2 linked regions of the Xenopus tropicalis genome follow. The protein of the gene in region 1 binds, or shares a complex with, the protein of each later gene. Links are inferred from orthologs where the notes say so. Each region holds a gene or a part of one and is shown on either strand. Other genes may lie near its edges.

Region 1 (4,089 bases):
ATCAGGTCAGCCTAGCTGCTGATTGGTTCCTATCCTACAGTGCAGTGTACGGAGGGCCGCCGGCTCCCCTGCACATCCAGAGAACTCAGCCAGCAGGAAGTGGAACAGATGGGTGGGGCTAGTGAGGTTTTTGTGGAATTTCTCAATAAAACAGTCAGAAACACAACTTTTTAAACACAATCCTTCTATATCTAGAGGATTATAATTCACTGGTACATTCTTAATTTTTATAGGATATGTCTCCTTTCAAAAGCTTATTGTTGTGCCCGCACCTGGGGCCATTGTGTTGGCCAAGTGCAGGAACACAAAGCAGATTTTGCCCCTTTTTTGCATGCTTGCGCTCAGCCTGACACAGAAAAAAAAAATATAACTATATTACTATACTATAACTATATTACTATATACTAGCGAGTGAATCTAAACGTGTATGGGGACCTTTAGAGCCCAAGATGCTTCAGATAAATAATGGACCTCTAATCAGTTCAATTTGTGAAATTAATTATGATTAGTGCTTTATCCTACAATTTCTTTAAACGTGGGACAAACAAGAAAAACAATAATGATGACAATTTCACATCCTAGTTTCAAGAAACCTTTTTGAGTTTAGATCTAATTGGGAAAAGGGGCTCTGAAGGCGACAGGTACTATTGGTAACAGGGGGAAACAAGTACTTCTCTTGAAGAAATTATCAGACCAAGTGGCAGCATGCACAGTGGGAAGCAAATATGAAACTTTTTTTTTTATTTATTTTCTTTTATCGTTCTCACACAAACGTATACAGAGTGAGAAAACCCTTATTCTTTTGATACAGAACAGACTGAGTTAAAGGAACAGTAACACCAAAAAATGAAAGAGCTTTAAAGTAATAAAAATATAATGCACTGTTGCCCTGCACTGGTAACACTGGTCTGTTTGCTACAGTAACACTACTATAATTTATATAATAAGCTGCTGTGTAGCCCTGGGGGCAGCCATTCAAGCTGGAAAAAAGGAGAAAAGGCACAGGTTACATAGCAGATAACAGATAAGTTCTGTAGAATACAATAGTGTTTTATCTGTTATCTCCTATGTGCCTGTGCCTTTTCTCCTTTGAATGGCTGCCCCCATGGCTACATAGCAGCTTATTTATATAAATTATAGTAGACTTTCTGAAGTAAACACACAGCTTTTACCAGTGCAGGGCAGCAGCACATTATATTTTAGTTACTTTTATACACTTTCATTTTTTGGTGTTACTGTTCCTTTAAGGCGATTTGCTCTTCCCACAAGGCGGCTGCGTCATGCGTCATTGCGCTTACGTGATTGTGACGCTAATCTCGCGTAATGAGATTTGTGGCTTTGGGATTTTCTGTGAGGTTGGAGGCTAGAACGCTTCAATAACGATTTTGTGGGAAGTGTAAGTAGCGATTCGAGAGTGCGGGCTACGTTAGGGGATTCGGGGCTGTTGGGCTGTGCGAATGCTGTGTAAGGGAAGGAACATGCAGGCACCCTAGCGATCGCCCTCGCCAAGTCCACAGATCACTGACAGTATGGGGGGCGGTAATTCAAGTAAACTCAACACGGTCAGGCCCACCTTAATACCCAAAATCCACCAGTGCCAGGGCTACTGTCCCACCTCTAGAGGCGGCCATGGGGAAATAGATGGGGTGTTAGAAAGCGTGTAGTAGAGAGAGATGACACCGCACTGACGATTAGTTTGTGTTTTATTTAGACCTCAGAACTCTACTCTGATCAGTAACACCACATGAAGGAGAGTGAATGTGTATAAAGGGATAGCACATTGGGCACTTGCTTGAAGTAAAGCAGAGTGAATGTGTATAAAGGGATAGCACATTGGGCACTTGCTTGAAGTAAAAGAGAGTGAATGTGTATAAAGGGATAGCACATTGGGCACTTGCTTGAAGTAAAGGAGAGTGAATGTGTATAAAGGGATAGCACATTGGGCACTTGCTTGAAGTAAAGGAGAGTGAATGTGTATAAAGGGATAGCACATTGGGCACTTGCTTGAAGTAAAGGAGAGTGAATGTGTATAAAGGAATAGCACATTGGGCACTTGCTTGAAGTAAAGGAGAGTGAATGTGTATAAAGGGATAGCACATTGGGCACTTGCTTGAAGTAAAGGAGAGTGAATGTGTATAAAGGGATAGCACATTGGACACTTGCTTGAAGTAAAGGAGAGTGAATGTGTATAAAGGGATAGCACATTGGGCACTTGCTTGAAGTAAAGGAGAGTGAATGTGTATAAAGGGATAGCACATTGGGCACTTGCTTGAAGTAAAGGAGAGTGAATGTGTATAAAGGAATATCACATTGGGCACTTGCTTGAAGTAAAGGAGAGTGAATGTGTATAAAGGGATAGCACATTGGACACTTGCTTGAAGTAAAGGAGAGTGAATGTGTATAAAGGGATAGCACATTGGGCACTTGCTTGAAGTAAAGGAGAGTGAATGTGTATAAAGGGATAGCACATTGGGCACTTGCTTGAAGTAAAGGAGAGTGAATGTGTATAAAGGGATAGCACATTGGGCACTTGCTTGAAGTAAAGGAGAGTGAATGTGTATAAAGGGATAGCACATTGGGCACTTGCTTGAAGTAAAGGAGAGTGAATGTGTATAAAGGAATAGCACATTGGGCACTTGCTTGAAGTAAAGGAGAGTGAATGTGTATAAGGGAATAGCACATTGGACACTTGCTTGAAGTAAAGGAGAGTGAATGTGTATAAAGGAATAGCACATTGGGCACTTACTTGAAGTAAAGGAGAGTGAATGTGTATAAAGGAATAGCACATTGGACACTTCTGTAAAGCAATTGGTTTAGTTGCCTGCAGCATAACTCTGAAAATACTCAGCAGTCGCACAATCTGTGCAATGGGTCAGAGAATAGATCAGCCCTGTGTCTTATATTGTCAGCAACAGGGCTATATGTGGTGGCACCAAGCTGTCGTGAAGTTACTTGAGCATTGGTGAAATTAGATTTGGGAAAGGTGCTGGCATTGACAGGGAACTCATTCCTCTAGAATAATTAGATACAGAAGTGGAAGTCACTGATACATCATTATAATTTTTTTTTAAGTGTCTAGTGTGGTAGGTCCAAGCCAATAGTGAATCATGTGCTTCCATACCTGCTTTTTATATGTACTCTCATAATAATTACTGTGTTTTTAGTATTTGGTTGAATTAAAATGCATTGCCAAGCTGCCTGACACTGGTCTGAGGGAGACCACCATCATTGTTGCATCGCCAAATGAGCCAAGTACTATAACTGTTTGTTCTCAGCTGCTCCCCACATCTCAAATGTTTTTATTTGGTGCAGAGATTGGCTTGTTTGTGTTGAGATCAGTGAACGTATTAACAGGAAAGTAGACATCATCCTTCCTTGGGGGGTGCAGGCAAGGGCCCTTCTAAAAACCTTGTTGTTTTTTTTTTACCCTAAAAGTGAACTTCCTATTTAAAAGCCTAAGTATTCTGAACCTTGCTTTCAGCCAAAATGTGTTATTGAACTTTTTCTGCTTGTTGTCTCAGGAACAAGAATTGGAACAAGCAAACACTGAAGGACCATCTTGTTAGACTGGATTAAAAGAATTTACTCACAAAGGAGTCATACACTATATCAGAGAAGATTCAAGAATGGCTGCAGACAAAGCAGGAGGTAGGTGTTCTTTTACTGTGATGTTGTACTGCTGGTTTTATTGGAACATAACACAAATCACTTGTGCGCACACAATCACTCTACTATAAATAGGCTTTGATGCATTTGTTAAGATGACTTTTTTAAATGTTTCAAAGTGTAATTTTTAAATTGAAAAACATTTTAAAAAATATTTCTGATGTACTATTTGAAAACCTATAAACAGAAAATAGTGCTTCGGAGGTGACTTACGCCCTTTAAATGAATTACTATTCCCAGTTAAGAAAGGACACTGTAACCACCTCACAGCACACCTGGGTGCATGCAACATGTGCAAAATTGTAACCCATGCAAAAAATATGCAATAATGCGCCCTTCCTTTTGATAACTCTGCCCCACATGTCAAAAGTTGGCATACTGGCAAAAGATGCAATGGCACTCAGGGGCTGTAAACGGGACAAG
Region 2 (4,085 bases), on another chromosome or scaffold:
TTGTAACGCTCTCTGTAACGTTGCTGCACATGCACGAGTGCTCTTTTAAAGTTGCTAAATGCTGACTGTTTGCACATAATTTGCCAGAGAACCTGTAAAACCCAGGGGTAAAAGGTAAATTCCAACAAAATTGGGGGAGTTGAGAGTTATGCTTTTTAGGGTGAAGACACACTGAGCTACTAGTAGCAGCTTCTTTTTTGCACTACTAAACCCGAAAATCCCCTGCCATAGACAATACTGAGAATTGCCTCTGCTAAAACACACGTAGAGACAGTTATCAGTAAATGATCAGCACTGTCTATTTTAGTAGCCACGACAAGTAGCTGCTACTAGTAGCTCTGTGTGTCTTCACCCATATGAGGAGGGTTTATAACGTGGAGCCTGTGGGACTTCAAAATCTTCATTTTTGCATCTGGATTCAGAATGCAATGTAATGTAAATGTATAGAATTTTTACATTTTCCTTGTGCTTCTATATGGAAATAAGGGTTTGAAGCAATATCATGATAATGCAATATTTATAATTTTGAGATTCTACTCTCAAATATTATATTCAAATTCATACTTTAAAACTAAGTTTGGTTACTACAGTTAGAGTTATTACTACATACCAGGCTACTAGAAAGGAAATTGTGAAGGTAATTGCATTATTAATTGCTTTACTTCCACTTTCACCCCTAGGATCTCAGTAGTGTCAGTTTATACGCGTTTTGCACGTTTTCAATGCGTGATTAGTATACGGGTATAAATATACGTGTACATAACAAATTTCTTAACCAACAATTTTAAATTATATTATATCATATTTTATCATATGTTGACCAATACTGAATGTATAAGTTTTCAACGGCTGTTATTATTTGTACTGCAGATTATTTTTCTGCATAATGTAAATATTAATGTTTGAAAATATTTTAATGCCTTTATTTGGCTATAATGTTTAAAAAATCCCAATAAAAATGATTGAAACTACTTCCACTTTCGTCTTATTTACTTTTTGAGCTTATGTGCAACTTTTTTCTAGAATATAAATATCCTCCCCTTCAACACAATCCAATAACACAAATGGCATTTGAATACATAGTTCATAGTAATGCCTCACGAATTCTGCAAATCCAGTGCTGCGGCATAGCCTTCACGCATGCCCATTAGAGTCATTCAGTTTCCTTTCAACTGCGCATGCTCCGGGCCTACCTCGCTTGCTCGACTTCCTGGGTTCGGAACGCGTTTTTGATTGGCTTTTCGATCCTGACCATAGAGAGCAGTGGCTAGAGCGCCCGCCGAGTCAGCCATTGAACGTTACCGTAGAGTACGCACAAGTAGGAGATATACGTTCGTGCTGCCCTCTGCTTCGGGTCGGAGCCCGGGAGGTGAGATTGATCAGAAAGCCGGCTAAGGGGAGTTTTGTTTTTTAAATGCATCTGCTACGAACAGTACCCGGCAAGCGTCTCTCAAACCGTTTCCAGCCAATGTGCTGGAGACCTGCAGGATGGACATTTAAGATTTATTTCTAATATACGCTAGCCATCGGTAGCCTGTAGGCAACATCCTTATAAACCGCGTTTAATAATGTCATTACTTATAATCTGTGCTTAGTTCTTTAATTTGTGGAATGACTTACTGAAACTTGTGTCTTAGTCAGAATAGTTTATACTAGGTTGTAAGATATAAGGATATTAGGAGTCACAGTAAAGTTCCATAGACATATAAAGGAGCAATTGGCATATAACTCCTCCTTGGCTTCTAATATACTTATATTTTGCAACAGTAGGTGCATCATTTCCTATATTGTTAACAGGGAAATCTTACCACAAGGGAAGGGGGGTAGATAAATGTACAATGAATTTAAGAAATACTGTATTATTAAATGACAAAGCCAATGTTAATATATGTTTAATATATAGTGTGAAGGAAAAAAATGGCTCTTGTGTACTGTTACATGGGAGCCATACATATCCTGTAAATGATATCCTTATAAATGCTGCTTGGCAATTTAATTTCTGCCACATGGTTGCCAAAACTTGTGTCTTATAATTAAATACTTCTGTTGTAAAAAAGAAGGATATTAGAGGTCATCCCAGAGTAAAATGGCCTGTATAAAAGGACTTGGCCTTCGACCTCATGCTTTAATATAATTACATTTCTCAGTGACTTATAATATCCTTATATTTTACAATAGGGGGTACAATATTCATTATACACCATCTTCTGCAGTGAGATTATACATCATTCCCTGCCCCAGGGTACTTTCACATTCACATACAACGGTTTTCATTAGGGGCCAATTAACCTGCCTGTAGTTTTATTGCGGTGTGGAAGGAAACCACTGTAAGCATAAGGCAGTGCTGTGTCCATAAATGAACCAAGGACCTCAGGGCTGCAAGACAAAAGTGCTAACCACTGCAACAAAAATGTCCCAAGTTGTGTATTAGAACCAAAGGTAAGGTAAAAGTCAGTGGGGACCAATTAGCTAGTCACACCCAGTGAATACAATAGGTTACTTTTTACACCAGTCCGGCATTTCTCTATTGTAAAAAATGTTCTGGACTGCAGCCCCCCTACAACCAAGTTTTGAGCTTCTTAGTGAATTGTAGTAATCTGCGATCTAAACGACTGAGGCTTTTTTCTGTTGCTGATCTAAAGGGGTTAAACAAGGATGTCCTAATTGTGGCTGATCAGCCAAATTACTACTTAAAAGATGCTGGAGTTCTGCTTTGGCCAACTGACTGATTAAACTAAATATTTTATTGCATTAACTCCACACACCCTAACCATTGTGAAGTTGAAAAATGGACCAAATGGGATGAATAATCTATGTGCCCAGGCAGCTAACTCACCTGATGGATATGTAATATACTTATAGTGGTGTAGCAGTTTCATGAACTGTATTACTATAAATACTGCCAGGTGTTAGAATACTAATATACAAGGCAAGGCAAATGGTGGCAGGAGAACATTTCCCTGTATTCACCATCCGCAAGGCTAACAGGGTAGTGTTTCCCAGTGTTGCCTTTCCCTTACCTATAATTGTTTAATATGTCTTTTGATTGCAAATTCTTAATATGTTTGGGTTTCTGCAAGTTAACCTTAAAGTATATATTTTAAAATTTTTAGGTAAGAGACATCACCTCTGTCTGGGGAAAACACTGCTTGATTTTCTGTCTGTACCACACATCTCACTGGCCACCTTTCTGAATTCAAGATGCCTGCAGCAGTGGTAGATAATAGCCAAGTGATATGTGAGGTGTGGGCTGTCAACTTGGAGGAGGAGATGCATAAAATTAGAGAGCTTGTTCGCACTTATGGCTACATAGCAATGGTAAGTCTACATTAAACTGACACTTTGTCTGCGTGGGTATATTATTATATTACCCCCTTATCCCAGTTGCAATTGAGATGTATAGGGTTTTGGCTTTTGACAGGCCTATTGGGATTCATCAGGATTGCTGGTTGACTCTGACTAAAGGTGCCCATACACGTGAAGATTTGCTCGCTTGGCGATGTCGCCAAGCAAGCGGATCTTCACCTGATATCCCCACCTACGGGGGGGGAGATATCGGGGAACATGTAGGCTAATTTGATCCCTGGGGCCAAATGATTGAATTATAATGGCGGTCCCCGGTCCGACTAAATCTTTTAACCTGCCCGACCGTTGTTTCTGCCCCTACATGGCCTACAGTCGGGCCGTGTATGTGGACCTTCACTCTTTTTTGTGCACAAGTAGTGTCTGTGATCATAAGCCTTAAGTCTGTTTTAAGTATAAGTAGGGCTTGTGTCAAAAATGCATTGTGCACATTCCTTTAATACAAAAATATAATCAAGAGAGTTATAGAGATATAAAGGAAAATAACAACATATGTATAATTTAACCCCACCCTATCCCACAATGCTGCCTATGTAATATGCTAAGAGAAGGAGTTTGTTCTCTATACAGGAGTTTAACTGGTACAGGTGGTAACTACCCCTTTCCACAGCTGCTCTGAAGATCTTAGTAGGTAGGATCGAGTGTAAAGGTCAATGTGCCACAATGTATTTAGAGCCCTATTTATTGGATTTATATTGAACTTGGGTACATTTGTAAGCTTA

Evidence for each region. The genes of interacting proteins can lie anywhere in the genome.
Region 2: cnot10 (region 1) and cnot8 share a complex: the UniProt entries of both Homo sapiens proteins name them as parts of the CCR4-NOT complex. The link is inferred for Xenopus tropicalis from reciprocal best matches to the Homo sapiens genes CNOT10 and CNOT8.

The regions. Positions count from the first base shown.
Region 1 is NC_030682.2:50,188,935-50,193,023, forward strand, and holds the start of cnot10 (CCR4-NOT transcription complex subunit 10), read left to right. Parts: upstream 1-1,289; 5' UTR 1,290-1,396; intron 1,397-1,444; exon of another isoform or gene 1,445-1,464; intron 1,465-1,543; exon of another isoform or gene 1,544-1,562; intron 1,563-3,521; 5' UTR 3,522-3,626; coding exon 3,627-3,648; intron 3,649-4,089. UniProt on the Homo sapiens protein: Component of the CCR4-NOT complex which is one of the major cellular mRNA deadenylases and is linked to various cellular processes including bulk mRNA degradation, miRNA-mediated repression, translational repression during translational initiation and general transcription regulation.
Region 2 is NC_030679.2:19,855,632-19,859,716, forward strand, and holds the start of cnot8 (CCR4-NOT transcription complex subunit 8), read left to right. Parts: upstream 1-1,285; 5' UTR 1,286-1,369; intron 1,370-1,512; exon of another isoform or gene 1,513-1,536; intron 1,537-3,113; 5' UTR 3,114-3,201; coding exon 3,202-3,318; intron 3,319-4,085. UniProt on the Homo sapiens protein: Has 3'-5' poly(A) exoribonuclease activity for synthetic poly(A) RNA substrate. Its function seems to be partially redundant with that of CNOT7.